Xenopus tropicalis: one gene and its partners. The protein of the gene in region 6 interacts with the protein of the main gene of each other region in a pairwise test. Links are inferred from orthologs where the notes say so. Each region holds a gene or a part of one and is shown on either strand. Other genes may lie near its edges. The genes, in order: snrnp70, smc3, gse1, ezh2, ints6l, cep63 and ccdc14.

The links.
Region 1: the proteins of cep63 (region 6) and snrnp70 interact in binary tests that used the Homo sapiens proteins (3 or more experiments, as listed by UniProt). The link is inferred for Xenopus tropicalis from reciprocal best matches to the Homo sapiens genes CEP63 and SNRNP70.
Region 2: the proteins of cep63 (region 6) and smc3 interact in a two-hybrid assay, tested with the Homo sapiens proteins (2 studies listed by BioGRID and IntAct). The link is inferred for Xenopus tropicalis from reciprocal best matches to the Homo sapiens genes CEP63 and SMC3.
Region 3: the proteins of cep63 (region 6) and gse1 interact in a two-hybrid assay, tested with the Homo sapiens proteins (2 studies listed by BioGRID and IntAct). The link is inferred for Xenopus tropicalis from reciprocal best matches to the Homo sapiens genes CEP63 and GSE1.
Region 4: the proteins of cep63 (region 6) and ezh2 interact in binary tests that used the Homo sapiens proteins (3 or more experiments, as listed by UniProt). The two-hybrid records come from large-scale screens. The link is inferred for Xenopus tropicalis from reciprocal best matches to the Homo sapiens genes CEP63 and EZH2.
Region 5: the proteins of cep63 (region 6) and ints6l interact in a two-hybrid assay, tested with the Homo sapiens proteins (2 studies listed by BioGRID and IntAct). The link is inferred for Xenopus tropicalis from reciprocal best matches to the Homo sapiens genes CEP63 and INTS6L.
Region 7: the proteins of cep63 (region 6) and ccdc14 interact in binary tests that used the Homo sapiens proteins (3 or more experiments, as listed by UniProt). The link is inferred for Xenopus tropicalis from reciprocal best matches to the Homo sapiens genes CEP63 and CCDC14.

What each region holds. Positions count from the first base shown.
Region 1 is NC_030683.2:113,692,206-113,695,241, reverse strand, and holds part of snrnp70 (U1 small nuclear ribonucleoprotein 70 kDa), read right to left. Parts: intron 1,685-3,036; coding exon 1,583-1,684; intron 1,025-1,582; coding exon 937-1,024; intron 1-936. UniProt on the Homo sapiens protein: Component of the spliceosomal U1 snRNP, which is essential for recognition of the pre-mRNA 5' splice-site and the subsequent assembly of the spliceosome. SNRNP70 binds to the loop I region of U1-snRNA.
Region 2 is NC_030683.2:2,845,383-2,849,688, reverse strand, and holds part of smc3 (structural maintenance of chromosomes protein 3), read left to right. Parts: intron 1-50; coding exon 51-126; intron 127-508; coding exon 509-547; intron 548-999; coding exon 1,000-1,067; intron 1,068-1,966; coding exon 1,967-2,038; intron 2,039-2,136; coding exon 2,137-2,216; intron 2,217-2,393; coding exon 2,394-2,472; intron 2,473-2,796; coding exon 2,797-2,914; intron 2,915-2,999; coding exon 3,000-3,175; intron 3,176-3,308; coding exon 3,309-3,389; intron 3,390-3,940; coding exon 3,941-4,105; intron 4,106-4,306. UniProt on the Homo sapiens protein: Central component of cohesin, a complex required for chromosome cohesion during the cell cycle. The cohesin complex may form a large proteinaceous ring within which sister chromatids can be trapped.
Region 3 is NC_030680.2:64,861,992-64,865,248, reverse strand, and holds the end of gse1 (genetic suppressor element 1), read left to right. Parts: intron 1-662; coding exon 663-766; intron 767-1,154; coding exon 1,155-1,289; 3' UTR 1,290-2,335; downstream 2,336-3,257.
Region 4 is NC_030682.2:55,123,507-55,128,318, reverse strand, and holds the start of ezh2 (histone-lysine N-methyltransferase EZH2), read right to left. Parts: upstream 3,181-4,812; 5' UTR 3,089-3,180; intron 2,520-3,088; exon of another isoform or gene 2,404-2,519; coding exon of another isoform or gene 2,366-2,403; intron 1-2,365. UniProt on the Homo sapiens protein: Polycomb group (PcG) protein. Catalytic subunit of the PRC2/EED-EZH2 complex, which methylates 'Lys-9' (H3K9me) and 'Lys-27' (H3K27me) of histone H3, leading to transcriptional repression of the affected target gene.
Region 5 is NC_030684.2:68,649,665-68,654,626, reverse strand, and holds the start of ints6l (integrator complex subunit 6 like), read right to left. Parts: upstream 3,378-4,962; 5' UTR 3,107-3,377; coding exon 2,996-3,106; intron 2,867-2,995; coding exon 2,789-2,866; intron 1-2,788.
Region 6 is NC_030681.2:130,326,296-130,330,601, forward strand, and holds part of cep63 (centrosomal protein of 63 kDa), read left to right. Parts: coding exon 1-160; intron 161-1,326; coding exon 1,327-1,422; intron 1,423-2,015; coding exon 2,016-2,132; intron 2,133-3,559; coding exon 3,560-3,673; intron 3,674-4,306. UniProt on the Homo sapiens protein: Required for normal spindle assembly.
Region 7 is NC_030685.2:88,353,589-88,358,329, reverse strand, and holds the start of ccdc14 (coiled-coil domain-containing protein 14), read right to left. Parts: upstream 3,413-4,741; 5' UTR 3,135-3,412; coding exon of another isoform or gene 3,094-3,134; coding exon 3,064-3,093; intron 1,849-3,063; coding exon 1,793-1,848; intron 1,464-1,792; coding exon 1,388-1,463; intron 1,056-1,387; coding exon 983-1,055; intron 644-982; coding exon 518-643; intron 1-517. UniProt on the Homo sapiens protein: Negatively regulates centriole duplication. Negatively regulates CEP63 and CDK2 centrosomal localization.

The DNA of each region.
Region 1 (3,036 bases), on a different chromosome or scaffold from region 6:
CCACACACAAAGCATTTCATAATCACTGATCAAACATACCTATACTGTACATGAAGCATATCTATAGGCAGAAGGTGAGGAAAATAAATTAGCATCACTGGTTGTTATAGTTGGAAGCAGCCATGTTGTACTTTCCTTAGGGTAACCAGGGTCAAACTAAGAGCACTTTTTCATTTAGGAACAAGGTTTGTGCACATTCATGTTCTTAAAATGGCAGTTGATATAGGACTGATTTAAATAAGGGTTTTTACAATACTGAAACCACCAGCTGCCTTTTCATTTTCCTGTGGGGACATAATGGACCACATGCCTCACAGAAATGTATTCTCTTCTAGTATGATGTAGTGCTCCAAGACATTTTCTGAAAGAGTTTGTCATTTTTAAATTAAGCCTTTTGTTCAGCAGCTCTCCGGCTTAGAATTTTAGCAGCTATGCAATTGCTAGGGTCCAATTTAACCTAGCAACAAAGCAGTGGTGCAAAGATACAGGAATATGGATAGAAACAATAAAATTAGGTTTAGCCCAAGAGCAATAGTTTTTTTTTTTTTTTTGTTTGTTTTTGTTTTAACTGCAGTGACCCCCATTTGAAAGCTAAAAAAACACAGAATAGAATATGTTATAGAATGGCCTATTCTTCGCAAATTTTCAATTAGCCAATAGATTTACAAAATGCTTTGAGGCTACAGCTGCACTGTCTGACCTGCGCAGTGCATTCCTGAGGGGATGTGGCTGCCCTGCCATAATCTACCTTCAGAAGTGTGCAAGTTTTAAAGAAGTGGAGGCCTGGGTATCGGGTTAGCTATTTAAGTCACTGGACGGTGCCTAAAAAATGGCTTCCCCAGTGCTTTAAATGGACCAAGAAATAGGTACCGACCAAATAACTGAACAGTCCGGAAGAAACTGAACACAAAAGAAAAAAGATCAGTGGCTGATTACCTCTCATCATATCTAGATGTATCGTCTCTGCCAGAGTGCCTGATATTGACATCAGCTCCGCCCCTTCTTGTGCCTCCAAGACCACCACCTGAAGAATGAAAGAGAACGTTGCCATTTAGAAAGTTTTCGTGTATGTTTGCTATCAGACTCATTACATTCGGTTACTGAACTGCACTGAGAATGGGTAGCAAGTATTTAAATTAAAAGCCAACTAATGGAGGGCAATGATCCACAACACAGAGGGTTGAATAGATATTCAAAATCGCCCCGTTTACATGACGTACAGCAGTGATTCCCAACCAGCGACTCAGGGGCAACACCACCTCCTTTGATATTGCTCCCAGTGGCCTTAAAGTAGGTGCCCATTTTTACATTTCTGGCTTGGAGGCAAGTTTTGGAAGCACAGACACAGTTTTACTCCAAGCAGAGCCTCCTGCAGGCCAGCAGTGCACATGGGGCTACCAAATAGCCAACCACAGCCCTTATTTGTACTCCCCAATGAACTTTTTTCATGGATTTGTGGCTCAGACACTTTTTACATCGGAGTGTGGCTCATGGGGAAAAAACGTTTAGGGATCCCTGTTGTACAGACAACTTCAGTCCTGCTGGGTTTCTCAAGTGTTTAAGAATTATAGGATGTCCTTACCAAGTCTGCGTGGGCGCCATCCCTTCACAGTACGTCCTCTCTCGACATCGACCAACACACGCCTTCCGTCTATTTTCTTCCCATCTGCGTGCTTGTATGCCGCTGTAACACAATGTTTCCAGAAGGGCAGAACAGAGCCAATTAGCTTACATGCACATAACAATCCCCCCCTCCCATACAGGCACACAGTCTTAACCTCTCACATAGAACAAGACTGCTGACTAAATTATGCAGGGCATCAAGCAGAGTTTCTACTATAAACTTATCAAACAAATCCTGTGTTAGCACTTTAACCCTGGACACAAAAGGAAAAAAAAAAAAAAGTGTTGGAGAAGATGCAGTAAATGCTCTACTGGACAGCACAAGTCAGGGTTTCCTGAACAGTTTTAGACTTTTATCAACAATTCATTGTGTTCCCCCTGAATAGAACAGAAGCACAATAAAAAAAACACAATACGGAAACAATCACGATATAGAGAAGTATCTTGTGCCTTCCACACCTAATGGACAAAAGAGCTGAGGTTAAAAATACTTATCGTGTCTTATGGCTTAAGGCCTATTGTCCCAACCCCTAGATTTCTACAGCTTTCAGAGTAAGACCAAAAAAGCCAAATAAGCTATCCAGCAGTAGCATTTCCTTGCAAAAACTCCTCACCAACACTCCAATGCCACCTCTTAAATTTCCCAATCATGCTGAAAGAAAAACACGTTAAAAATGATGTTGTTCCTATCGCAACTTACACATATTGACTTAATTCACATTAATCTTGTAGCCTGTCGCTCAGGGTGTTCAGCTATCAAGCAGATGAGGACATACTCATCCATCACAAACGACTGCCTTACCTGGCAGCATTTCAAGTCGGTATGCCAGAAGGCAGTATGTGTCATGGTTTAAGCTGAATGTGAAGACTAGTTTTGGCCACAGCGCTGCACACTTGTAGTTTGATGTTTTAAACTACTGCGGTGTTTATAGTCCCTATAACCATTCGCATATTGCTATAGCCAAGAACTACCATAAAGCAAGATGAACTAAAGACAGTACCACTAAAATAAGTGAAAAAATAAAATTTACCTGGTTAAACTACTTACAAAACCTTTCAAATTACCGCCTCAAATTCAACGGAATTTCATGACGATATCTTGGAAAGATGTTTGAACCTCGAGAAGTTCCTCTTTTTTTTTATTATTTAAACTGGATTTGAACTGACGAATTTCTCGCAGCTGAGAAACTGTCTTACCTGCCTTGGCTGCCTCGATTCTTTCCATTGTAACAGTATATTGACTGATTTGATGAATAGTTGAATGGTGGTTGCCAGTATCACAGAGACTCCTGCTTTTGTCTCAATTGATTTTTTTAAGCCAGCAATGGCACGATCTATGTCCATACTGCAGAACATTAGGATCATGCCCACACATTATCCATCATCTGTTCCGCCTCTCAACTACCCAGGGTT
Region 2 (4,306 bases), on a different chromosome or scaffold from region 6:
AGGGTAAAAGTAGTGTAATCTCATTCAGATATTACTCTTATTCTTTCCAGGTGATCATTCAGGGCTTCCGGAGCTACAGAGATCAAACGATCGTCGATCCATTTAGTTCCAAGCACAATGTTATTGGTAAGTGAGAGAGAACGTACATACCTGTAGCTAAACTCCCGCTTGCAATGCAGCTGCTTATATTTAGAAGCCCTATGATCATTGGACTGTATATGTGTGCGACATGTAGAATATTGCTTGTGCATCCTATAAACCAGCCTATTAACTGAAAATTACAGATAAAGGATTTGTGACCACAGTATATTTTGTTACAAATCACATTGCTAGAGAAGGTGATGCAGTTTCCGCAATGGGACTTTGAGTGTAGACTCACCAGAAGCTGGCATTATGGGCCTGCCATGCTTTCTTTTCATTTGTCCCTTTGTGTAATCATTACCGTACATTGCAGTTCCCCTTTAAAGTGTCTTACTGTGCCTTGCTTATATTCTTTCTTTTTTTACAGTGGGAAGAAATGGATCGGGGAAAAGTAATTTTTTCTACGGTAAGTTCCTTTTCTGTAATGCTGGGTTGTGTCAGGCATGTCACTGTACATGGGGAATAGCTTGTGTGTGTAGGTGGTTACAGTGTAACGTAGTATTTGTAATGAAATAGAACTCCTTCTGTCTCATTATATTGCATAAATATCTGCTCTAATGATTATAGGATCTTCTGAGATGGAAGGTTATGTGCTGTGCTGATATATGGGGGGCTTTTGAAACAATCAAAAGAAATGAATTGCGTAAAACCCAAATTTGAGTCTTGTTTCCAGCACACAGACCTTTAAATTGGTGTAGAAATTATTAATTTTTCCTTCTATTTTTTTTTTTTTCACATATCTTTGTTTAATATGCCTAAATGAGTTATAAGCAGGGCACTGTTTTCTGAAATGTTCATAAGAAACTGCTGCATATTTTGATATATGTGTCTTAGTAACTAATCATTTTGTCATTATAGCCATTCAGTTTGTACTCAGTGATGAATTCAGCCATCTCCGTCCAGAGCAAAGGCTGGCATTACTACATGTAAGTATTCTGCTCAGTCAACTTTGGGATTATTTATTCAGGAAAAAATCTGTACTCTTGCTTTTTGTGATTTGGATCAGTAGGGATTATTGTTGTGGTAACAAACCACAACAATAACCACAGAACAGTCCTATTGGGTTTATTTAATGGTTAAATGGTTCCCTTTTGTCTGTAATAATAAAACAGTACCTGTACTTGATCCCAACTAAGATATAATTACCCCTTATTGGGGCAGAACAGCCCTATTGGGTTTATTTAATGGTTAAATGATTCCCTTTTCTCTGTAATAATAAAACAGTACCTGTACTTGATCCCAACTAAGATATAATTACCCCTTATTGGGGCAGAACAGCCCTATTGGGTTTATTTAATGGTTAAATGATTCCCTTTTCTCTGTAATAATAAAACAGTACCTGTACTTGATCCCAACTAAGATATAATTACCCCTTATTTGGGCAGAACAGCCCTATTGGGTTTATTTAATGGTTAAATGATTTCCTTTTCTCTGTAATAATAAAACAGTACCTGTACTTGATCCTAACTAAGATATAATGAATCCTTATTGGATACAAAATAATCCTTTTGGGTTTAATGTTTTAGTGATTTTTTAGTAGACTTAAGGTATGAAGATCCAAATTACAGAAAGACCCCTTATCTGGAAAACCCTTGGTCCCGAGCATTCTAGATAATGGCTCCTATATCTGTACTTTCCTAACAAAAGGATAGTCAAAGTGAGATGGTAGTGTCCACTTTATTTCCATTTACTCTGTGTTGGGGGTGTAACATTACTGTTAAATGCTTGCATGTGTGTTTTTCTTTTAAAACCTGCATTTCCCATGGTACATGTATATAGGGTCCAGATTCTTTAAAATGTAATAATTCTTTCCTCTCAAATTTAGGAAGGAACTGGGCCCCGTGTTATTTCTGCTTTTGTAGAAATTATATTTGATAACTCCGACAACAGATTACCAGTAAGTTAAAATATTTTGTGACCTATATTTACTCTCCATGAGGGGATTTTTTTTTTAATGTATTTTTTTTTTCTTCTCCTTCAATTATGTTTATTTAGATTGACAAAGAAGAGGTTTCCCTCCGGAGAGTGATTGGTGCCAAAAAAGATCAGTATTTCCTGGACAAGAAAATGGTGACGTATGTGCCGATACATAAACCTTTAACTCATTTTCTGAAAGTATTTGCTGTAATAACTAGATAGTCCTGTATCACATCTTAAATATTTAGACTGTTAACTGCTCTTAGCAGCACATTTGTATTTAATGGATTAGAGATCCTAAATTTTGTTTCTACTTTTTTTTTTTTTAACCACAGAAAAAACGATGTAATGAATCTTCTTGAAAGCGCAGGTTTTTCTCGTAGCAATCCTTACTACATTGTCAAGCAAGGCAAGGTGAGAGCGTTACTGTCTGCTTTACACTGCAGAATTTATCTGTGTGGTATCAGGGAGCCACCAAGTTAATGTAAAACATTAACACCAAAAAATAATATTTTTTTTTAAAGTAATTAAATTATGTGGTCAAATCCATCCACCCCTCTGCACCCAGTAATTTTGTGATATGCCAGTTAAGTAAAATCTAAATGTCACCTTAAAGTTGTGGTTTTCTAACAGCTGCGTTGTAACCCAGTAACTTTGGTAAAAACTATATTTTCACAAAAAGAGTGCTTTTAAATATTTTTTTTATTATAACCATAGTTATTTTACATCCAACTATAGATTAACCAGATGGCCACAGCGCCCGACTCTCAAAGACTGAAGCTGCTGAGGGAGGTAGCTGGGACAAGAGTATATGATGAACGTAAAGAAGAAAGTATCTCCTTAATGAAAGAAACTGGTAATTACATTTTTGCCATTGACTTACTTTAGTATCTTTAGCAATACCTGTTCTCTTTAGTCATATTTTTACATTTTCCTGTCAGAGGGTAAGCGAGAGAAAATCAATGAACTACTGAAATACATTGAGGAAAGGCTGCACACCCTGGAGGAGGAAAAGGAAGAGCTGGCTCAGTATCAGAAGTGGGACAAGATGCGTAGGGCCTTGGAATATACCATTTACAACCAGGAGCTGAATGAGACTCGGGCAAAGCTTGACGAGGCAGGTCTTTTCTGTGTGTAAATGCTCTGTTACTATGTCTAGCTTGCCATTGTGGCTCTAAGCTGCCATTGGCTGTTTGCTCCAAATTTGTCTTGTAACAATTGTGCTGATTTGTCAGTGATTTTCCTTGTAGCTTTCTTCAAAGCGTGAGACAAGTGGAGAGAAATCCCGGCAGTTAAGAGATGCCCAGCAGGACGCCAGAGACAAAATGGAGGTAATCCTAAAAATTATTGACTGTATAGCAATCACCTCCTAGCTCTAACACCAGTGGTCTTCTTAACTAAAAAAAAAAAAAAGGCTCCAAGGGATGCTACAATCAGAAGCCATTCTTAGCAAAACTAATAGTGTTGTACTGTTTTATTATGAGACTTTGACCCTAGAAAATAAACTGAATGGAAACCATGGTTAAAGCATATAGCAGAGATTGGCCTGCATCAGCAGCCCTGGTATCCCAAGACCAGAACTCCCAGCATCTCTTCAACTGAACTGCTGGATGAATTATGGGCGCTTATGCAACATATGAATAGGAATGCCTGCCTATTCTTGGGGTTCAGTTATCTCTGCAGTCATTTCAGTACAGATTTATAAGAGTTAATGTTACTTTATAGAAAATTTACAAATAGAAAAAGTATTGTGATTTAATTCTGATTTAATATAATCCTGAGTCATCAAGAGTAGACTGTCACTTAGTAAGTGGGCTGTGTGCTTTCAATAATGTTTTTTTTAATTACATAGCCGGTTTTATATATACTTTTATATTAATAGGATATAGAACGGCAAGTTCGTGAATTTAAATCGAAGATCTCTGCAATGAAAGAGGAGAAAGAACAGCTCAGTTCCGAGAGGCAGGAGCAAATTAAACAAAGGACCAAGTTAGAACTTAAAGCTAAGGATTTGCAGGATGAACTTGCTGGGAACAGTGAACAACGTGTAAGTAATAACTCGCGTGTATCTGGAAACCACCTGTGCAGCCATACTTGCTAAAGAATACTATGTGGTGCCGTACAGAAAAGCAGAGAGCAGCCTGTTTCTCTAGCGGCCCTCCTGTCAGTGCAGATGTTAGGGTTTTGTCTTGAATCACCTCTGGAGGCAGGACAGAGAATTGAAGCTTAGTGGCTCCTGGTCCCTCCC
Region 3 (3,257 bases), on a different chromosome or scaffold from region 6:
AATTGCTAACATACTCTCATGAACTTTCCATTCGATAAGCAAAAAGTGGAGGCTCGGCAGAGCACAGTTTCAGTCCCTTTCCCTGTTGTTTTGTACAATGAAGAATAAGCTGCCAGGAAAAGATATCAAAGAATTTCCCTCACCTTTAGTAGAACCTGTTACTAGCTCATTGCTGCTTTAGTTCGTGGTGACGTTGGGCTTTATTCCTAAAAATTCCAGTGAAAGATAGTGCCTTGAAGGAAGGAGAGAGGGGGCAGCACATGCATGTCAAGTAGAGAGATTTGTCCTGCTGGGCAAATGGGAAAGTACTAAGTACTCCATGTCAAAAAAGCCAGTTAGGCTATATCGCTTGCTATTGTGTGGCCTAACCCAAGTGTGCAACCAGGTGTGGTACAATGCAGGGAGAGTGGGCATCATAATGCAAAGCGTCTCTAATGTAATCGTTTTCTAATGTAACAATATATTATGACTACTCCATGCTATGGCACTTTACTAGTTTGCAGATAAATATAGTTAACAAGCATTCCATATTATTGTGCCTTGCTGTATTTACAAAGATTCAGATGTACATGTTACCACAGCTATGTTTCACTTATGCTCCATAATTACAGTTGCTTATATCTCTTTGAAGTGGGATTAAATTGTACTTTTTTTCTTTGCAGAACAAAACCTAGAACGGCAGGTTCTGGAGAAGCAGTGTAAAAGACTAGAATCCCAGCACTATAACCTGAGTCTGACAGCTGAACAGCTGTCACACCGCATGGCAGTAAGTGATGTCCCTGTCTATTAACTTCTTTTCTCACAGTGCCCCTTACGACTAAAAGCATACTTTGGCGTGCAGTCTTTCTAGCTATTGTTTAAAAAAACAAGCCAGCAGTGTAGTGCTTTTTGTGGAAGGTTTCTCTATGCTGGAAAGGTGCATGGACCATTGCTAAGATAGTTCAGTAGATAAGCAGCGTAATAGAGAGGTGCAGGCAAAATGTTTTCTTTATTCTACTTGACATTGACATATTCTTGGCTCCATGACTGTATTTATTTTCCAGCTGTATATCAGTAAATGCTTCTACAGTCAATGCGATTTATCGGCATTTTGGCCTTTAACATGGTGAGATTCTTGCGTTCAGTCTATTTACACCATGCATCTCTCCCCACAGGACTTGATGAGCCAGAAGCAAAAGGTGGCATCAGAAAGAGAGAGATTACAAGCTGAACTAGAACACTTTAGGAAGTGCCTTGTTTTGCCCACAACGCCGTGGTCTAGAGGATACTTCAAAGGCCACCACAGGTGACATCTTGTCTTGCACTAGGTTTGATCGTACAGTATAGAAATATCTATTTTATTATCTCGATATTTAATATTTTTCACTGGGAGGATTGGGAAACATCATCCTATTTCTGTCACATTCTGCACCACCCTGGGAGAAAAACAAAAAAAACAAAAAAAAAATCCATATATATAAATATATGAATGTGCCATGCATGTCTCAAAGGATTATGAGAGATTGAGAGAACAACCAACCTCAGTCAAGGCAAAGCCGTGGGCATTTTCTTCACCACATGATTTCCCTGTTGGCACCACATCCCATACCAGGGTCCCTCATTGACAGACTTTTGGCTGCATCTGACACTACAAGCAACCTAGTGCACTGTCTGCCCTCTGGACTGTACCAAAGTGGGTGCTTACCTTTCTGAATCCACCCTTCATTGCCATCATTCTTCAACCTGAAACCGCATTGTACTGCTTTATTTATCACGGATTCCTTGTGTCCTTGCCACAGAAAGGAAAAAAAAAAAAGTTTGAAAGTTCTATGACTTTTATGGTATATCTTCTTTTAATCAGAAATGTAATATGCTGAAATTGGAGGTTAAGGACTTATTTCTGTAACACAAAAGACAATTTGTCCACGCAGAGCTTTGCAGCTTGCAATGGGAATGCACTTAAACCTGGATCTCAGATTGGTTGAAGGTACCTTTTATTAAATACCTGTCACATGGTCGAGGTTCTATACTGCAAAGCTGCTACACACCTCCCATAAGCAGGCAAAAGGAAACCGATTGGAATCTAGACATACTGATCAGGTGCTTCAGCCTTGGACTGTATATATTACAAAGTTGTTTTTTTTTTTTTTGTTTTTTTTGTAAGTTTTTATTGCTTTAATTATTGTTATAAAGAAAAAAAACTGCCATTTTCAGCGCTTCTGCATTTTTTTTCAGCCAGAGGAAAATACATGTCTCTTTTAAAGTTGCTATTTAGTGTTTGTATTCTGCTGCTGGTCAGGAATTTATCCTATCAAAGTCTTTTTGAGAAAATTAAAAGTTGGAAAGAGAATTAAAAGTGGAAGGTGTTTTTGCCTGTCACTTGAGTGTTTGGGGTGTGTTACATGAGCAGATTTGCCAGTAAGATGTGCTGATTTTAGGTTGTTTTATGTGTGGTATGTGTCTGTTCTTCTGTACTCACACTGGCCTATTGAGGCAGGCATATTCATGTTCACCCCTCTAAAATCTTAGACTAAATCCAGCCATAGATGGGCTGGTCCCGCATGGTATCCTACTGATTGACCCATGAGCAGGACAGATACTGTACAAGGGGCTGTACACAGTATGGCCAATGTTAAATTGTTCTTTTTGCTGAGTCTAACATCCCTGAAAGATCAGAGCAGCAAAATCTTTGTATTAACGTGGTCAGTTAATAGTTACCAATCGGGATCATCCAGCCACTATACATGCCAAAAACTGTATAATTTTATTGGTATATGTATGGCCAGATTCAGGCAGAGAACACTGTGTGGCAGCTTGTGTGTGTATGTGTAACTGTGGTACAGTGATATAATTAGGCTTCAGTTTTATGTTCTGCACTTGATGAAACACATGGACAAAACAATACAGACAGAAGATGATTAGAAGGGGGGGTGGGGGCAGAGTTTAAATAATGTGTGCTAAACAGGTCATCTTCCCAGTGGAATTAGGGATGGGGCAGTCTCAGACTGGGGCACTTGGGGCTCGCCAGGGAACCTGATGCCTTTTATTACATCACCCCCAAGTGAGAACTAAAGAATGTAATGCAGATACTGCTTTCAATATTTATACTTACAAATAACTTGTAAAGGAGTTGTTTGCCTTTAAATTAACTTTTTCATATGATATAGGTAATATTCTGAGAATTTGCAATTGGTCTTCATTTTTTAATTGTGGTTTTAAATTATTTAGCCTTTTTGTTTAGCAGCTCTCAAGTTTGTAGTTTCAGCAGCTATCTGGTT
Region 4 (4,812 bases), on a different chromosome or scaffold from region 6:
CAACACTTGTCCTCCCTGTGTGTAATTTTGTATTTTACAGTGCTGCGTACCCTTGTGGCGCTTTATAAATAAAGTTATACATACATAGATTGGAGGAATCACCACAACAGGACCAGCAAGATCTCAGATCAAGCACTCACTGTACATACACTATGCGACCATCTTCTGCATAGATCAGCAGTCAGTGAGAGTGTTTATCTAGACCTGTGAAGACTAAAGGTCCCCATACACGGGCCGACTATAGGGGCCGATTCGGCAGCTAATCGGCCCGTGTATGGGCAGAACAGAGCGACCTGGCTGACCGATATCTGGCCTGAAATTGGCCAGATCTCGATCGCCCAGGTTAGAATATCCGGTTGGATATCCGGGGACCGCATCAACGAGCCGATGCGGTCCCCGAACCGAATGCCCCATAACCACAAATGTAATCCGATCGTTTGGCCCATTACTTTTTTTTTTAAGTTACTTGCTACCCGATATCGCCCACCCGTAGGTGGGGATATCGGGTGAAGATCCGCTCGCTTGGCGACATCGCCAAGCGAGCAGATCTTATAATGTATGGGCACCTTTAGCAAGAGTTTAAAAAGCTAAAGTCAACTACAGAAAACCCTGCTTTTCAGACAGTGAAACTGTCATGATTTCCTAATTTTCCATTAAGTATGACTTCACTAAAATCCTTGGAGAATGTTTTGGTGGTGAAGGTGCTGCCCTAAGGTTCTGGGATGAGAGAATGATTTGATAAAAGAAAAGGTCTTTGGACTCTCAAAGATCTTACAATGAAAGGGAAAACCTTTGGTGCGAAGATCTTTCCCATCTTTTAATATATGGTCCATGGCCTCCTCTGGCTAGTGTCTGCCAAGTCATTGCTGGAACAGTTTTTCATTTCATCATGGGCTTGAAAGATAGACAAGTGGGCAGTAATGAACAAAGAGCCCCAGAAAGGTGGAAAAGGAGTCCCAAATAACTAACCTACTGAAGAGTTTGTCTCCAACTGCATCTGCTTGACATTAAATGGCACAGACAAGGACTCTGGAGGCAGCTCCATGTCCAACATTTTTCCTATCCTACTTTGGTGCACACTGGGATGGGACAAGTGGAACCACTTGTGGAATACATCTTGGTTTTACCTAGATCTTACAAACTTTGTGAGAGAGCACCAATAGGACAAATTCAATATACACTTGTGGAAAGATAATCAGCGAGCTGATCAGAGGCATGGATGTGTTGGGAGTCTATTCCAGTGCTTCCAACTGACATTGCAATGATTTCCATTTTGTTGTGATAGTTGCGTTGTGGTGCATGTGCATTAACCAACGCTGGTTCCACCCAACTGCCTATCAGGAGATGTTTGAGAAGTGCGCATTCTATTTTGATTTTTAGCCACAGAAAATGCACACTCCCAGTAACTCCAAACATGCCAGATAAACCAAAACTCGTCACTACATTAACGATGAAGCAATAATAGACCAGCAAGAGCCTTAAGATAAATGAAAAACTTCAGCCCGACACTGGTAAATACATAACCCTGACCCTAAAGATAGACAAATCGCAAAGATAGACATCCTCTGCATGTCTCCAATTTATGTGTTAGTGTAGCTGGAACAACTGCTTGTGTGGGCACATAGTGGCAGCCAAAAATCATACACACCCACTGCCATGTACAAATATCAGATGCAATTTCTGACAGTGCATTTCCAACTATACTCACTTAAAAATTGGATATGCGGGTCAGACCCTAGAGCTAAAAAGGAATTTTAATATATAACAAAATAAATACACAAGACAAATCTTGAAGGAAAAAAAACATACCAAGTGATGATGATCTGTCACACAATATCATCCGACGACTGACACAACTTTGTCATGCACAAAATGACTTCTTAAAGCAGCAGCCGGATACAGCACAAAAACAGCTGACCGTGGAGCTGCTGTCATACAGCCCTTTGGAGTCTGTTTCAATAAGTTAATCACCCCATGTATGTCCCAGCACACACATGCCCTTTCTATACCGTCAATGACACTAGTGTATAACACGTTTTCAAAACTATTACAACTTCCTGCATTGTGTCTTGTATGCACCCACGCAGTACCTCCTCTTGTTGCCGACAGACTGTTCCATGACTCTTATCTGATGACAACTTTTTACTTTGCTCTGCACACCCTCACCTGCAGGTTTTAGCTACACCAATAACGTACGTGGAAAAAGCTTGATTTCTGTCTAGTCCTTAGTGCTCAACTGATGCAACTTCACTACAGTAGCACTTAACCCCCTACCACTATATTGGCACCACACAGTTCCTCTCATTCCTCAATCAGAAAGTCACTTGGCCCTACAGAGGTTTTGAGGTAGAATATTAAGAGAAACCTGCGACTTGCTGAAGAGGGCTTTGGATGGCCCAGCATGGTTGTCCTCTCTTCATGTGTGACAGCTGCCCTGCCATGGATGTTCAGTGTCCCCTCAGACTGTTGTTGAAGTATAACTTTCACCAATGTCAGTGCTGGGAGTTGTAGTTCAACAGCTGGAAACCAACAAAGAGGCAACACCAAATACAGATGATATGCAGAAGACTAGCAAACCCTTGGAGGTGTTGCTGGGATATGCAATCCTACAATACATGTTCAGTCCAACTTAGAGTTGGACTGCATCAACAGTCCTTGACCCTAAGACACCAGAGTTTAAATCTTAACCTGCTACTTCCACGTTCGAATGCAGAGATGTGAAACACAGAGTACAAGCTCTGGCCACACTACAATTCCCAGAATCACCAGAAACCCGCTACAGGCTAAAGGCATCCTATGGTTGTCACAGGATTGGCCCGATCACTTATGTGTTGGTATATTGTCTATCTTACACGTCCATTGAAGTTAAATCTCCATTACACAGCACTTCGGACCATACAACCCTGTTATTGTAATCAAACCACGATTTGACAGTGAAAATATTCCCGCATTAAACTCCAGCTGTAAGGTTGCATTTGGAGCCCCTCCCCCTCTGTTGCCGGGGGCGGCCCCTTTGTCCTCGTCTGCTCCCACATAGGGCCCACATTACCAATGTGCCCGGTACATAATTAGGCTCTATTTCAATTACCGTGTCTATGACCGTCTCCCCTTCGCCTGGCTCTCCTCTTCCGTTCTTACTACCCGAATCTCCTTACCGATGGAATCCCTATTGCACTACCGCCAGCCCCAGGCGCCAAACTAAATCTCCCAGATAAACCTCCACCTCTCGCAGCTTTCAGCCACCCCCATGACCGGTGCTTAGCTCCCTCTAACTAGGTTCCAATTGGCTTGCTCAAGGGCGCCCGGAACTGTACGAGCCAATAGGAAAGCAGAGAGGGAAAACGAAGCCGGCGCCAGCTATTCCCTCATACAGTGTTATAGAGCCGCTGTGCACTCTGTTTTCCTTTGTTCTGGCCGTACTCTAAAACTGACTGAGACGGGGGCGCGCTCTGGCGCTTTTTGGTCTACTCCAATATATATTTTACTTTATACTACATTATTAATGTTTTATTGCTCAACCAATATTCTCATCTCTGGGTGTGTTTGAAAATTTACAACTGGTTTACGATAAAAAAAAAAATATATATACATATACAATATGCCATCGGTTTTATCCCGAGTTATAGCAGCCGGCGCGCCCATTCAGAATATAATTGTTCTGTTCTTGAAGTAGCCGGGATGAATATCACACGCTTTATAACAGCTGTGACTTGTGTACACGATTCACACGGATATGACTCTGCCGTATAGGGGTTAAGAACGGTCCTACCGGGCGCTGACAATTCCCGCCGTATCAATGCAGCGCGGAATTAGAAATGGAGCAATTCAAACTGAAAGCGTTTTGGGCGGTGACTGTAGAAAGGGGCGTGGTCTATAGATCACGTGCTCTCCTACACCAGCGACAGAATGGCCCCAGGTAACCTGGCGGCAGAACGTGTTGGTTGAGGCAGATTGCTGGGGAATTGTGGGAAGGGAAGTGCAAGGTTGTATAGTTGCTATTAGTTGTCTTCGAACGAACTCGATCAGTGCCACTGTGTTTTTAATGCATGTTGGCCGAAACGTAGTAATACTTTGATGTGTACGTTTATAGAGGGGCTGACAAGTTTATATCTTTACACGAAATTTGCCCTAGTGTGGATTTGTAGGAGCTGCTCGACACAGCCCTTCGATCTGAATGGGCTAGTATGGTATGTTACGGACTCCAGTCAGCTCTAGTGTCTAATGGGGCACAAAGGTGGGCCTGTCTCTTTCTATGTGCTTTGGTATTTGACCGGCCGCACACATGCAGCTATGATTTGCTCCCAGTACTACATTAGCATGGGTTGCACACCTGTTTATCAATAGGTTTAATGCCACACTGTTACACACGGGTTGCAGGGCCTATGGGTAAACCGGGCCGAGGAACAAAACAAAAGATCTATTAAAGATTTCATGGGATGTGATTTCTTACTAAATTCAGCTGCTTAATTGGGCCTTAAAACACAACACCTGTCCCAATGAGCCTATCCAAATAAAGTATCAAGTACACAAAGGGGCCCATTTATCAATGTTTGATTGAGTCCGGATACAAAAAAAATTGTATTTTTTCTAAGTTTTATAAATGTGTGTGTATTTTCTGCAATTTGTTTATTAATTTCAGCAACTTTTTCGTACTTTGCGTATGAAAGTTTCAGGATTCATTAAAGCTTCAGTATCCTTTGGCCAGGTGCTGCATACAGGCACGGATTTGTGGCGAGGCCACAAAGGCCCGGGCCTAGGGCGGAACATATGTAGGGGCGGCATGCCGCCCAGTCGCATTGTGATGTTGCTCAT
Region 5 (4,962 bases), on a different chromosome or scaffold from region 6:
CACAAATTTGTGCAGAAATCCACAACTAATAAAGAAAACATGCAAGTCCACTTGCAAGTATGCGTTTATTTCATGTTGTTCAGCATGACACCTATAACACCCTGCACACTGTTTTGGGTAGGTGTGTAACCTTTATTGTATGTGATACTGGTGGGAGGGTACCAGAATTATTCACTTGCACCCCACTTCTCTTTTTGTATGAAACCTGTATGAAATCCATATGAAACCATTGTGCTATCAACGGACTACATTTAAAAAAATGTCTGGCAACTGTAACTTATTGCACAGGGAAAACTTAATAAATATTTTCCTTGTCTTTAGATGCATGCCACTGAAGATTGCTTTAGATGTATTGAAAGCAAAGTAGGCTAGATTTTGTAGAAAGTAATTCAGAAAGCTATGCTTTGTTTTTGTACTGAGTTCTCTCTGTACATTAAAGCAAGTTGATAGCAAGCTAAGGTACTAATCAAATTTTCTGCTGATTGCTACCGATCTTGCTTAGTAGAGCAATTCATTTTTTTCTTAAAAGCTTTTGCTGTAACTAGGAGTCAGATACAGAACTGAAGGAAAAGAACCTGTCTGTTGGTGGCATCATGGTAGCAGTGGTGCTTGATTTTGTAAATCAAGAGAGGGTTGAAAGGCTGCCCATACCACACATCAGCACTAGTAAATTGATGTGTATAATTTTAACGTGTGCGCCATGAACATTATCAGTCCTCTCAATTGCAGAATGTGGACTATACCCTTATAATTTAGTTATGAATAAAAATTGTATAAATGAGGAATGTGTTATGTTTTGCACTACACATAAGAAAATTAAACTTTACTAATTCCTGTCATTTCCTGATTTTTGTCAACAGAGGGGAGGCTGAAAAAGAAAATTACCAGCCCATATAGGGGGGAGTTTTAATACAGCGAAAACAAGCTAATTTTCCACCAGTGACTTTTTTTTTACTATTACCAGAATAGAGAATACATTTTCAACATAATTCCTATTTGTGGTTCTCAATTTAGCAAAGGTATACATAGAAAGATAATGCCCCACAATGACAATTTTGACTGCAACTTGTGCAGGGAAAAAAATGGTAACTTACCTCCCAAAATTGCACTATGAGCATTGCGCTGCATTTGTAAATGCCCCTTATATATGTTGTGCATGGTACAATCTGTCTTTGTAGATCTCTGTTAATGTTTTTTTTTTTACCCTTTAGGTAAAGATAAAGATATCGGCAATGCACTTGTGCAAGTTATCACCTATGTTGGAACATTAGCCTCATGCTTTTGTCATTAAATTGAGTATCTGGAAAAGCTTCCAATCAGTGAAAACAGTTAAAAAAGATAAATGTAACCATTTGCATGAGTGTATTATGATTTTGAGGGGGCCACAAAAGAATGAAAGAAAAAGTCAACTCAAAAGTTAATTTTTGGCCTTAATAAAAAGAAAACATAATTCTAAGCAACTTTGCGTTGTTACAAATTTGCAATGGACTTTGACTTATTTGTATATATATACATATAATTATATATACATAATTGCTATTAGAAGCAGTGTCTGCCTGTCCTTTAGTATTCTCTGCCCTGTGGCTCTGGCATTTGCACTAGTAGGTGGCATCATTGGTCAATTTTTCCAGCTGGGTTAAACACCAGTTGGGGAACAATTATTAATGCTGCCACAGCACACAAAACAAAGAAACTGGAAAATTGGGAATGGACACTACTGTCAAATAATTAGATTGAATGACTTTCCCAAATAATTTTAACACAAGCAGTTGTCAGGTTTGTCATATTAGTCATATTTTGGTACATTAAAGCCACATTATTTAGATACTTAAAGCCCTAACGAGACCCATGTTATTATAATAGGTGTACACCATAGCCCAACTTTAGCAAAACAAATAGGAAACATATTCTATTTTAAAATATCTACATGTGTTATTACAAAGCACTAAGAAACATTTTTGCTCCATATAAACAACCCCCTGCCTTTCCAAAGAAGCACTCTGTGGGTCAGGCTTACAGGTAAGGATCAGTTAGCTATACATAAGGGGCTGAAAATGAAACCACTTTTTATTTTTTTATAGTTTGCCCTATTTAGTAAAGGAACTCCAAACACTTCTTAATTTAAACAACGGACATACAAATATTTTTAGTATAAGCCTTTGCATTGCGGCTTAGTGCCCCTTTAAAGTGTAACTAAAGTCAGTGACAGTTAAGCTAAATTAAACTTGACTAAAAGTGGCCATGAAGGAAACAAGACTAAATAACACATTTTTACACCGCAACTGTTAAACACAGAAATGTTTGAACTTAAGTTAAATTTCCCTGACATGTCACATATGCTAAACCATGCACTCATTGACTCGTGTAATCTCCGCTCCTTATTTATTTTTTTGCCAATCATGGTGCAGCCCACTTCAATAAAACAGGAAAGGGTGGGTCCAACACGTCTACAAAGACCAATGATATTGCGATGAGTTGTGACATCATAAGCACCGCCCACCAATGCTCTCTCCCCCCGCCTCCATCTCGGGCGCCTCAGCCCCATACAAAAGCAAGATGTCCGCCATCTTCGGAGGCTGCGACCCGTCTACTCCCGCCGAAACCACCCCCTGCACCCCGCCCGCCGCGGCCTGCAAGGCTCCCGGGTCCGCCCTGCCGTTTTCCTCCGTCCTACGGAGCGTTCCCACGGGGTCTTGTTACAGGTGCGGCTGGAGGCGACTAAAGGGCCTAGCTTTTTCCCCAGATACAAACCACCACGGAGTCGGGGTAGTAGCTGAAATGCGTTTACCTTGATGCAGTATGGTGGCTCGTCATATGTAACCAGCATATACCTGTCGCCCCTACTAGCAGGATCCCGGGCACGCAGCTGCGGGGACACAAACACAAGGGAAGGCAGGGGTGAATACACAGTCATACAAATAACACGAATCACCCAAAAATAAAATAAACCCATCAGCCCTCCCCCGCGCTGGGAGACACCAACAATTCCTGTTACCTTCATAAATATCTCTACCGCGCCTTTGGCAATATCCAGATAGGTGGTACCCAAATAAGTGCGCTGGTTCATAGAGGCGGACGTGTCTATGAGGAAAAGTAAGATAGGCATTTTCAGCGCATACTATAGGCGGAAACCCGATGGATCCGCCAGCCTGGGCTACCCTGGCGCTGCGGTGGTTTATTGTGCCCACACCCTGGGGTATCTTGCTGGCTATGTGGAGTTTGTTTGGTGGGACGGTAAAATTGGACCCCTGTCTCAGTAGAGGGAACGATATGTTGTGTGGGTCCCCGGCCCCCAAGAACGGGCTACCCCCGTACAGCTCACTTGAGCTCTGAGTCTCTGTACAGTGTTCACTGATAGATAACTTCTCTTCCTAACCTCTACCAGCGCACCATGTGACCGCCCCGCCGCCGTATTGGCTGGCAAGCCCCAGTCGCAATTAGCATATTCATGATTATCTTAGCCAAAACCCGACTAGCGCGGCATGTGATCGCTGTGCCCTGCTATTGGTTCCATGCGGCGGCCAGCCCTTGCATATTAACGAGGAAAGGCGGGGAATGGATTTATTTATTTATTTTAGCTCCGCGTGGAGTTCAGGGAAATGTAGTTCAACTGCACGGCCGCCATGTTTTTTCCGTTTCACCGCTTGAGGTGCTGGGTAATCTGCAGTGAGCAGATTACTGTGTGAAACAGGCTCTTGCCGGGAAGGTCATTATTGTACCTCCTGCTGATGGTCAAGTTAATAGGGATGGGTGTAAGCACCAGCCGCAGGATGGTTGCGTTTTTCGCTAAAATTCAATTCTTTTTAGTGGGGCAGTACATTACTTTCCTTTTATCACTTTAGCCGTCTCTTTGGCACTGCAGAACCTCTTGGCTGTGAGTTGTCACCAGTTATTCGTAACAACGTGGCTCCCTGCATACAGTTTCCTTTGTCCCTGCTTTATTTGGGCAAATTGAAATCCATTGTAGGTGCCTAATTCTAGTCTGGCAGCATAAATAATCTCGCAAATGCAATGAAAATAATCACATACCAGGTATAAACTCAAGTGTATGGCCAGGTCAAAACGGCACACATGTTTGAAACTGTGGCCAAAATCCCGAGTAGAACAGACAGAAATAACTAAAGTCTGGTGTTTTATCTCCTAAAGGTTTCCAGCTCCATGGTTGGCAAAAATGCCTGCAATTGTCCATTCATTGCCTAAAACAGCAAATGCCTCAACCCTGATAGTGCTCAGTCCACCAGTTTTGTTGTTTTCAGTGTGCCAAGCCTCATAGGGCATAGATTTTCCTAAAAGTAAATAAAAAAATTCACATATGCTTCCATAAACTTCGTTAGAGTAAATCTATGAAGCTTCTTATTAAACAAACAAAATTGCACACCTAAGAACAAAGGAATAGCTCAGACAGCTGCATTCAATGCCAACCCCTATCACTTTTTGCAACTGCTGATGGAGTTTCAGCACGGGTTGAGGGGGGTTGCATCGCTAGTGCAGGAAGCGCAATTGGTGCCCCTGGTAACTTGAGGGGCATTGCCACCTAAGGTGAGTTTCTCAGTTTACCTCATTGCAGCTGTGTGCCTGGCTCCATAAAGCTTCTTGATGTGCTGGCACTCGAAGCCATTGCATCAGCCCAGGTGCAGGCACATGGAGTGGATTAAGCCATTTTTCAAAAATAGAAAAATTAGTCAATTGTGTTGAAATACCATTTTTAGATGAAAAAAAATACATTTTATATTAGAAAATTATGAAACAGGCCTCTGTGTCTTCTGAAGGCTGCCAGTTGTTTCTATAAATTAGTTCGGTAGAGGGTATTCTATACTTTACAACATTTTGCCAATGGGGGGGGCACAGTTTTAATGGATCCTAAAAAGTTATTTTATTTTAACAGAGTAAGCAGCACACAATAAAAACAATAGCAATTGCTGCAGTACTGGCATGTCTGGACTGAGATACAGTATGGGCAAA
Region 6 (4,306 bases):
TGAGGCTGAGCTGCAGGAACTCATGAGGCAGATAGACATTATGCTGGATCACAAGAGGTCGCAGTGGGAAGCAGAGACTGAAACACTCAAGACCCGTCTAGAGCTGAAAGAGCAGGAGCTGAAATCTTCACTGGACAGAGAAGATCACTTAAACCAGGAGGTAGACCAGTTGAGAAGTTACAGACAGAACCAGCATTGTGGCTTAGGATTAGTGCAGTCTAGTGCACTTATTGTATATTATGCCTTATTTATAAGAATTGGTCACTTTGTTTTCCTGTTTGAAATATAGATATTTCCTCTTCTGCATATTAATCTCTAAGAGGCCCCCAGACATTTCCAAAATGGCGTACAGCTCAGTGTAACTCTCTCAGGTCAATTCTAAGATCTTCTGTTTTGCTTTGTTTCACCCATTCTTCAAGTCACACCTCTTGTAGGAGCACCATTGGTGGATCATTAGCAGATTGATAGGGATTAGCGGCCTATTGTCAGGGGACAAACAGAAACCCTAGAACAATAGCTGCAAAAACCATCATTAACATTTTCATAAACAAGTTTTTACCTCATATTTGCATTATTAAATCTTTATATATAATGGAAGGAACAGTAACGCCTCCCAGGTAATTTTTAATTTTAGCAGCACTTCACTGACACTCCATAAAACTATACATATTTGGCACTGGCATATTCATGAAACATGGCGATTTCTAAATCAGTTGTATTTCCACATATAAAATAAAACTTTGGTATTTAGACCCCTAAATTTTGTTACAGAAGTGGAATTACACAAAAAATTATAAAGTCCAGGTTGTCCTTAAGAAACTGATAGTTTTCATGGGCAAACTATAATTCCCCTTCAGGAAATGCCCCTAAAGTGAAATGACTGGCAAATAAAATGCTACAATTCTGCAGGTAAAATTGTTATTCCAAGGCTTGTGTAGATGTGGGTCTGGGTTTGATGGCACACCAACAGATTTTAAAAGGGCAAAAGACAAATTGTCAGTAAAATTACATCTAAAAGACAAAATCTAAAAAATTTTTACAAAAGTGGAGATAGAGATTTGTGAATAAGGTGGAAAATCCGACAAGTCTATCTGCATTTTTATTTTGTCTCAATATTGCCACTTTTGTGAATTCCCCCTTTTGAGTTTGACCACTCCACAGGATACCCCTCTCTCAGACCTCGGTTATTCCTCCCTCCTGTCTATGACACTCACAGATACATATGTTCCATGAGCATTTAGTACACAACTGTGTTAGTTTGGGATGTACATTATTTATCTTTGAATTATGTGTATTTTTGGGGATAAACTAATCTGATTCCTACAGGTTAGAAGACTGAGACAGCAGCTCATACAGCAGGAAGAAGAGACTCAGAATAAGACTGTACAGTATGAGGCTCAACTGTCAGGCTTTAAGGAGGAGGTGAGCAATACTCTTTAGCCCTGCCTTATCCAACATGTCCTTGCGTGTCATTGGATTTGCTTTCATAACACAGCTGGCCTATCTGCCTTTTATCTCCATACAATCTGTGCCCTCATTAAAGGAGAAGGAAAGGCTAGTAAAGAGTTAATCTCAAGCTGCAGGCATACCTTCTCAGTAGTGCCCTTAAGTCTCCCTATATTTCTCCCGTTCAGAAGATCAGAAGCCAAACAGGAAGAAAAAACGCTGAGCTGTGTAAAGAAAGTTCCCATAATGCCTCACTCCTGCACAGACACCCAGACCAAGTGAACATGCTCAGCTTCCTGCTGATTGGCTCAGATTCACATTCCTAAGGTGGGGAGTGAGTTCTTAGGATTCTTGAGGGAGGGGGGAGCAGGAGAGAGCAGAAAGCTGCATGTCTGTGGCACAGGAATTACAGACACAAGAAATATTTTGACAAAGAAGTCAGTGCAGCGTTTCTGTGAGTGCTTATGGCTGTATTTACATAGACCTTTCTGATAAAGCTTACTTTTACCTTTCTTTCTCTTTTAAAGCAGTATTTTTAGGATCTTAAAATATTTCACTGTTTTGCTCAGTTAAACAGATTAAAAAAAAGTTACGAGAAAGTACAGAAGAAGCACCTGCGATCAGAGATGAAGAATAAAGTAGACGAGGAAAGATCTGAAGTCAGCCGCCTGACGCGGCGGTTAGAGGTATGTATATTTTTATTTATATAATGCTACTTGTGCACACGGCACTGTACTGAACTATACATTCAAGGTAAACCAAAGCTTAAGCAAACAGGTAGGGCAGAAATGTTGTTCATTATGTTTTGTGCTCCTGTACCAGCCAGAGGCAACCACAGCCCTTTAGCAGGGAAGATCTGTGCCCCCAAATATGCCCCAGTAGCCCCCCATCTTCTTTTCTGCTGATTCCCTTACCCATACTCTGTGCTGCTGGCACTTACCTGAGCTTAGGGACCCACTTACAATATACTGTGTGTGTGGCAGCTCTGAAACCAGTTAGCTAGCATCAGACTTTAATAATTAGCCCTGCAGTCTCAGCTTATTTTACAGGCCAACTTCATTTTCTGCTCAATACTTTGTGATGACCCCTAAGCTCAGCTTCTCAACAGCTGCCCAGAGCACACTGAGCATGTGAGCATGTGAATTTCAAAATTCAAGATGGAGGGCTCCTGCGACAACTCTGAAGGCCTGGATCATTGCTGCTACAAAGATGCTGAAACTTTAGGCTGGTTCACTATAAAAAATATGGAATTTTAGCCATATTCATTTTTATTGTTCTTTAAAGGGCATGTCAACCCCAAAAATAATTTTTTGCATAATGAAAGAAAACATAATTCTAAGCAACTTTCCAATATGAAATAATTAAAAATTTGTAGCGCTTTAAACGTTATTTGTAAATGTAATTGCTATTGAAAGCAGCATTTGCTGAACTCCTGGCTGTTACATTTTAAACAATGTCGCAAAGGTCTTGCTTCTCCAGCAAGTCAGGTCTGTCAGTCTGCTGCTTGTGTTACATTGTTTCAACAGTCTGAGCCACCAGGGCAGAGATTAGAAAAGGACAGGCAAACACTGCTTCTAATAGCAATTATATATACCAACTCAAAAACCATTACAAACTTGTAATAAATGTATATTGCAAGGCTGCTTAGAATTTTGTTTCTTTTATTTGCCAAAAATTATATTTTGCAAGTACAAAGTACAGTTAAATTAAAAATTAAGAGCTAAGTGTCAGAGACAAGTGGAAGGACAACCCTCCCATATAGAGTTTACAGTCTAAGTGGTTGTAAGGGAGCTGAACCTTTTTAAATATGCACTTACTTCTTAGATAAAGTAATAGAGAAAGACAATTTATAGTTTAAGTAATTGTAACCTTGGGTGTTCAAGCTTTTGTGGAATGAAAATACTCAACTTCCATGTACTCCTGTGCAACTGAAGGTTGCCTTTGTGTAAGTTCCTGTGTAAAAACTACTCAGTTATTTGTTTGCTGTAATTATGACTGAGCAGATGGACTGCTGTTATTGTTGTAGATATAAATGATCCTTGTTTTGAAAAGTATTGTGATTCTTTTGAATTATACTGTTAATAAATGCAATCACTGGTGGGTGTTCCCATAGGAATTCCGACAGAGGTCTTTGGATTGGGAGAAGCAGCGTCTGTTGTATCAGCAGCAACTGGCTGGACTTGAGGCACAACGCAAAACTTTGAGTGAGCAGGCAGAAATGTACCAGGTATATTATCAGATGAGTTGTTTTTTTAGTCATGCAATGCTTACATGAATTAATTACTTTAATCGGACAAAAGAGCCCTCTCATTAGAAAACAGGACACTCTGCAGAATAATTCTTGGCCCACAACTCTTCCAGTCTGGAGCTGCCTGCCTTAGTTTTTTCATCTTATGGGCTCTTAGGAAGTAATAATTTTTTCACTACCTGAGCAGGACTGACAACCAGACTGACAAAGCTGTATGAATGGTCACTGGTTCCACCAAGGTGGGCAACCAAGGTGAACATAGCTAGTTTTATATTACACACTATGCTGTGATACTTATTGGTCGATACAAAGCACTGGGAATTGTAGACAGATTAGAGTTAATGGGATGTTGAGGTACACATGGATGTTTTCCTGTGTAATGTATACTTGTCCCAAGGTCTTAAAAAAATGGTAAAGTAAATTAATTTAAGAAGTGAGTAGCAATTGCTGTTTCTACACAGAATCCTTACACCAGCATGTCCAGGGGTTTAAAAAATACAGAAACAGACTGCAGAGACAGCAATAAGCTTTAAAGAACCTATTTTAGTAGAGAAGGAAAACTGGGGGCTTCTTTCTTATCTGCAGTCTGTTTGGTGGCCCCTGTCGAGATGT
Region 7 (4,741 bases), on a different chromosome or scaffold from region 6:
TTATAGTGTTTCCTATGTTAGCAGATTCCAGTTACTTGCTCCATAGCAATCAATGATACCTATTCCAAGCAAGCAACAAATATCATAAAAATATTAACCCTTCCTGTGACATTAGTGTCACGGTCATGTTACTAAGTAAAGGTGCCCATACACGTTAAGATCCGCTCGCTTGGTGAGGTCGCCAAGTCGCCACCTACGGGTGGGCGATATCGGGTGAATTTAGGCTAATTCGGCTGTTTGGCCCTGGGGCAAAACGATCGAATTAGAATGCCGGTAATAGGCACAGTCGGTTCAGGGACCGCATCAACGAGCCAATGCAGTCCCCGATTCAACTAAATTTTTAACCTGCCCGATCGATATCAGGCAGATTCCAGACGGGCAGGCCCGTCGTTTGTACCCCTACACGGGCCGATAAGCTGTCGAATTAGTCTAAGGGACTCATATCAGCAGCTACAATCGGCCCGTGTATGGGCACCTTAAGAGGATTAACCCAACACAGACTTGATGCAGAACCAACCTATTTCCTTGTGCACGTGGGAAGCAGCGCCGGGTTTCTTTGGCACAATCCTTTTGCCTCGGACGCTGGCAGATCTGATGGAGACCTTATGTACAGGGGCTTTGGTTGGATGGGACTGCGGGTTTCCTGTAACAAATGGTGAGTGATTAAATGGATGGACATACACAGTAGAAGAGAGATAGAACACTGTGATAGAACACTGTGATAGAACACTGTGATAGAACACTGTGATAGAACACTGGCATAGAACACTGGCATAGAACACTGGCATAGAACACTGGCATAGAACACTGGCATAGAACACTGGCATAGAACACTGGCATAGAACACTGGCATAGAACACTGGCATAGAACACTGGCATAGAACACTGGCATAGAACACTGGCATAGAACACTGGCATAGAACACTGGCATAGAACACTGGCATAGAACACTGGCATAGAACACTGGCATAGAACACTGTACCTCTTGTGTCGTGTTGGAGGATGTCTTGCAGCAAAGCGGCACATCGATCCAGCCCTTTATTTATTACGAAGACCTGCAGTGTAACATTAATGGTGGTGAGTGTACGGCAGGGATTTGTGTTACTAATACGCCCCCCACCCAAAGAGCAAAACCTTATAGGCCAATATTATCTGTATTTACAACAGTTTGGACTACTTGGCTGGTAGAGTCATTAGTCAGCCTGGTCTCCCCTCTATGTAGATGAAATATAATGCAGTGGTAGAACAATCTGAGAGTTCACTACATGTGTGGCCCCCTACGGAGTGGACTGTGGCCCCTCAAACTGTATTACCAAGTTTATGGCCAAAATGGCACGTAAGCCTCCCCCTTCCCAAGGGCAGCAATAACCAAATGAAGTGTCGGTACCTGATCCTCGGAGTCTGTGGAGCACAAGGAGTAGCCGGAATCGACAGACGTTGTGGAAACCTTTCTCGCCGCCGCCCTGTCAAACAGCCAATCGGAGCTCACATTGGTAAATCGTTCACAAGTTACAGGTGCACGTTTATTACGTGAACTAAATTAATGGCAACGTGGCACTGGGTGCAGCACTGGGACTATTAGGACTGCCCCTGGGGGAGGGGGGGCAGCTGGGACTGCACTAATGGGGCCCCCAAGGCTATAGCTGGTGGAGCTTCCCATTGACACAATCATTCCTTTGTATGGGGCCCTAGGGACACAGCTCTAATGCCCAGTCATGTCAGTGCCAGGCTACAGGCAGTGCTATTGCCTTTTAACATTTATATATCTATTTTTTTTCCAATGGTCTCGTACCTTTTTTTACCAATTCCCAGCCTGACGGGTCCGGCCAAGCGTCCAGAAGAAACAACCTGGCAGAAATAATAATGGGGAGAGGTTATGGGCATGGGTTGCACCCCAAGGGCCTGTGTCTCACTGCCCCTACACCTACACCCCTGGTACCAGCTGGCTGCACCTTTGGGCCAAGGTTGTGGCCCCACATTGGGGTCCTTTGGGCCAAGGTTGTGGCCCCACATTGGGGTCCTTTGGGCCAAGGTTGTGGCCCCACATTGGGGTCCTTTGGGCCAAGGTTGTGGCCCCACATTGGGGTCCTTTGGGCCAAGGTTGTGGCCCCACATTGGGGTCCTTTGGGCCAAGGTTGTGGCCCCACATTGGGGTCCTTTGGGCCAAGGTTGTGGCCCCACATTGGGGTCCTTTGGGCCAAGGTTGTGGCCCCACATTGGGGTCCTTTGGGCCAAGGTTGTGGCCCCACATTGGGGTCCTTTGGGCCAAGGTTGTGGCCCCACATTGGGGTCCCTTGGGGCAAGGTTGTGGCCCCACATTGGGGTCCCTTGGGGCAAGGTTGTGGCCCCACATTGGGGTCCTTTGGGGCAAGGTTGTGGCCCCACATTGGGGTCCCTTGGGGCAAGGTTGTGGCCCCACATTGGGGTCCCTTGGGCAAGGTTGTGGCCCCACATTGGGGTCCCTTGGGGCAAGGTTGTGGCCCACATTGGGGTCCTTGGGGCAAGGTTGTGGCCCCACATTGGGGTCCTTTGGGGCAAGGTTGTGGCCCCACATTGGGGTCCCTTGGGGCAAGGTTGTGGCCCCACATTGGGGTCCCTTGGGGCAAGGTTGTGGCCCCACATTGGGGTCCCCTGGGGCAAGGTTGTGGCCCCACATTGGGGTCCCCTGGGGCAAGGTTGTGGCCCCACATTGGGGTCCCCTGGGGCAAGGTTGTGGCCCCACATTGGGGTCCCTTGGGGCAAGGTTGTGGCCCCACATTGGGGTCCCCTGGGGCAAGGTTGTGGCCCCATATTGGGGTCCCCTGGGGCAAGGTTGTGGCCCCACATTGGGGTCCCTTGGGGCAAGGTTGTGGCCCCACATTGGGGTCCCCTGGGGCAAGGTTGTGGCCCCACATTGTGGTCCTTGGGCTCCTACTAAAGGGGACAGGTATTACCAATGGTTCTGGCGCTGCCGGTTATAATCATGGGAATATCTACCCCCCCCCCCGCACCAACAAACATTATATACCGTTGTGTATCTGCCCCTTACCGGCCCCGCCAAGCCCTGCCCCCGGCTCCCGGTACCTTTCCGGCTCGGCCTCCCGCTTTCGCCATGTTCGAATCTCCTTCTCAGCCGCTGCCGGAACTGTCACCATGGATACCAACTGCGGCCGGAAGTTCAGCAGCCGCGCTACAGCTGGCGGGAAGAGAAATGCTTGTTGCCGGGGTAACGGGGAGTGGGCGGGGCCTGGGCAGCTTTATACTGCGGCTGAGGGAGCCGAGTCGGTCAGTCCGTGTGGCGGCGCCTGTGTAGTTGGTCCCGGCGGGAGGGGAAAGGCTCTGTGGGGAGGGGGGCAGCCGGGGCTTTCTATGGCCGCTCAGTTTCCCGCTGGAGACGATGAAAGGGAAGCGGAGAATAAAGGGGCGGGTGAGAGACCCCGGGATCAAAGGGACCGGAACTGCTTCTACTCCCCCGGGGCATTATGGGAGAGTCAGTAACAGCCCCAGTAACCTTCTGATTCTGAGCAACTGGGAGACTGGGAGTCACAAGTACTGATTATAGGGGAGAAGTGTAAATCATTTGTCTTCTCTATAGATACAGTATTGTGTGTGTGTATTGTATCTCTCTGTGCCGGCTGTTCCTGCTGAATTGTGCTTAGTACAGGGGAATCCCTATGTGCCATAGTTTTATGGTATCTCTCTGTACAGGCTATGAGCAAACTTAGGGGGCTGTTCCTGCTGAATTGTGCTTAGTACAGGGGAATCCCTATGTGCCATAGTTTTATGGTATCTCTCTGTACAGGTTATGCGCAAACTTAGGGGGCTGTTCCTGCTGAATTGTGCTTAGTACAGGGGAATCCCTATGTGCCATAGTTTTATGGTATCTCTCTGTACAGGCTATGAGCAAACTTAGGGGGCTGTTCCTGCTGAATTGTGCTTAGTACAGGGGAATCCCTATGTGCCATAGTTTTATGGTATCTCTCTGTACAGGCTATGAGTAAACTTAGGGGGCTGTTCCTGCTGAATTGTGCTTAGTACAGGGGAATCCCTATGTGCCATAGTTTTATGGTATCTCTCTGTACAGGCTATGGGCAAACTTAGGGGGCTGTTCCTGCTGAATTGTGCTTAGTACAGGGGAATCCCTATGTGCCATAGTTTTATGGTATCTCTCTGTACAGGCTATGAGCAAACTTAGGGGGCTGTTCCTGCTGAATTGTGCTTAGTACAGAGGAATCCCTATGTGCCATAGTTTTATGGTATCTCTCTGTACAGGCTATGAGCAAACTTAGGGGGCTGTTCCTGCTGAATTGTGCTTAGTACAGGGGAATCCCTATGTGCCATAGTTTTATGGTATCTCTCTGTACAGGCTATGGGCAAACTTAGGGGGCTGTTCCTGCTGAATTGTGCTTAGTACAGGGGAATCCCTATGTGCCATAGTTTTATGGTATCTCTCTGTACAGGCTATGGGCAAACTTAGGGGGCTGTTCCTGCTGAATTGTGCTTAGTACAGGGGAATCCCTATGTGCCATAGTTTTATGGTATCTCTCTGTACAGGCTATGGGCAAACTTAGGGGGCTGTTCCTGCTGAATTGTGCTTAGTACAGGGGAATCCCTATGTGCCATAGTTTTATGGTATCTCTCTGTACAGGCTATGAGCAAACTTAGGGGGCTGTTCCTGCTGAATTCATTCAGCTTTTTATACGATCATAAAACTTAGTGACTTACAATATCCTTATATTTTACAATAGGGGGTACATAATTC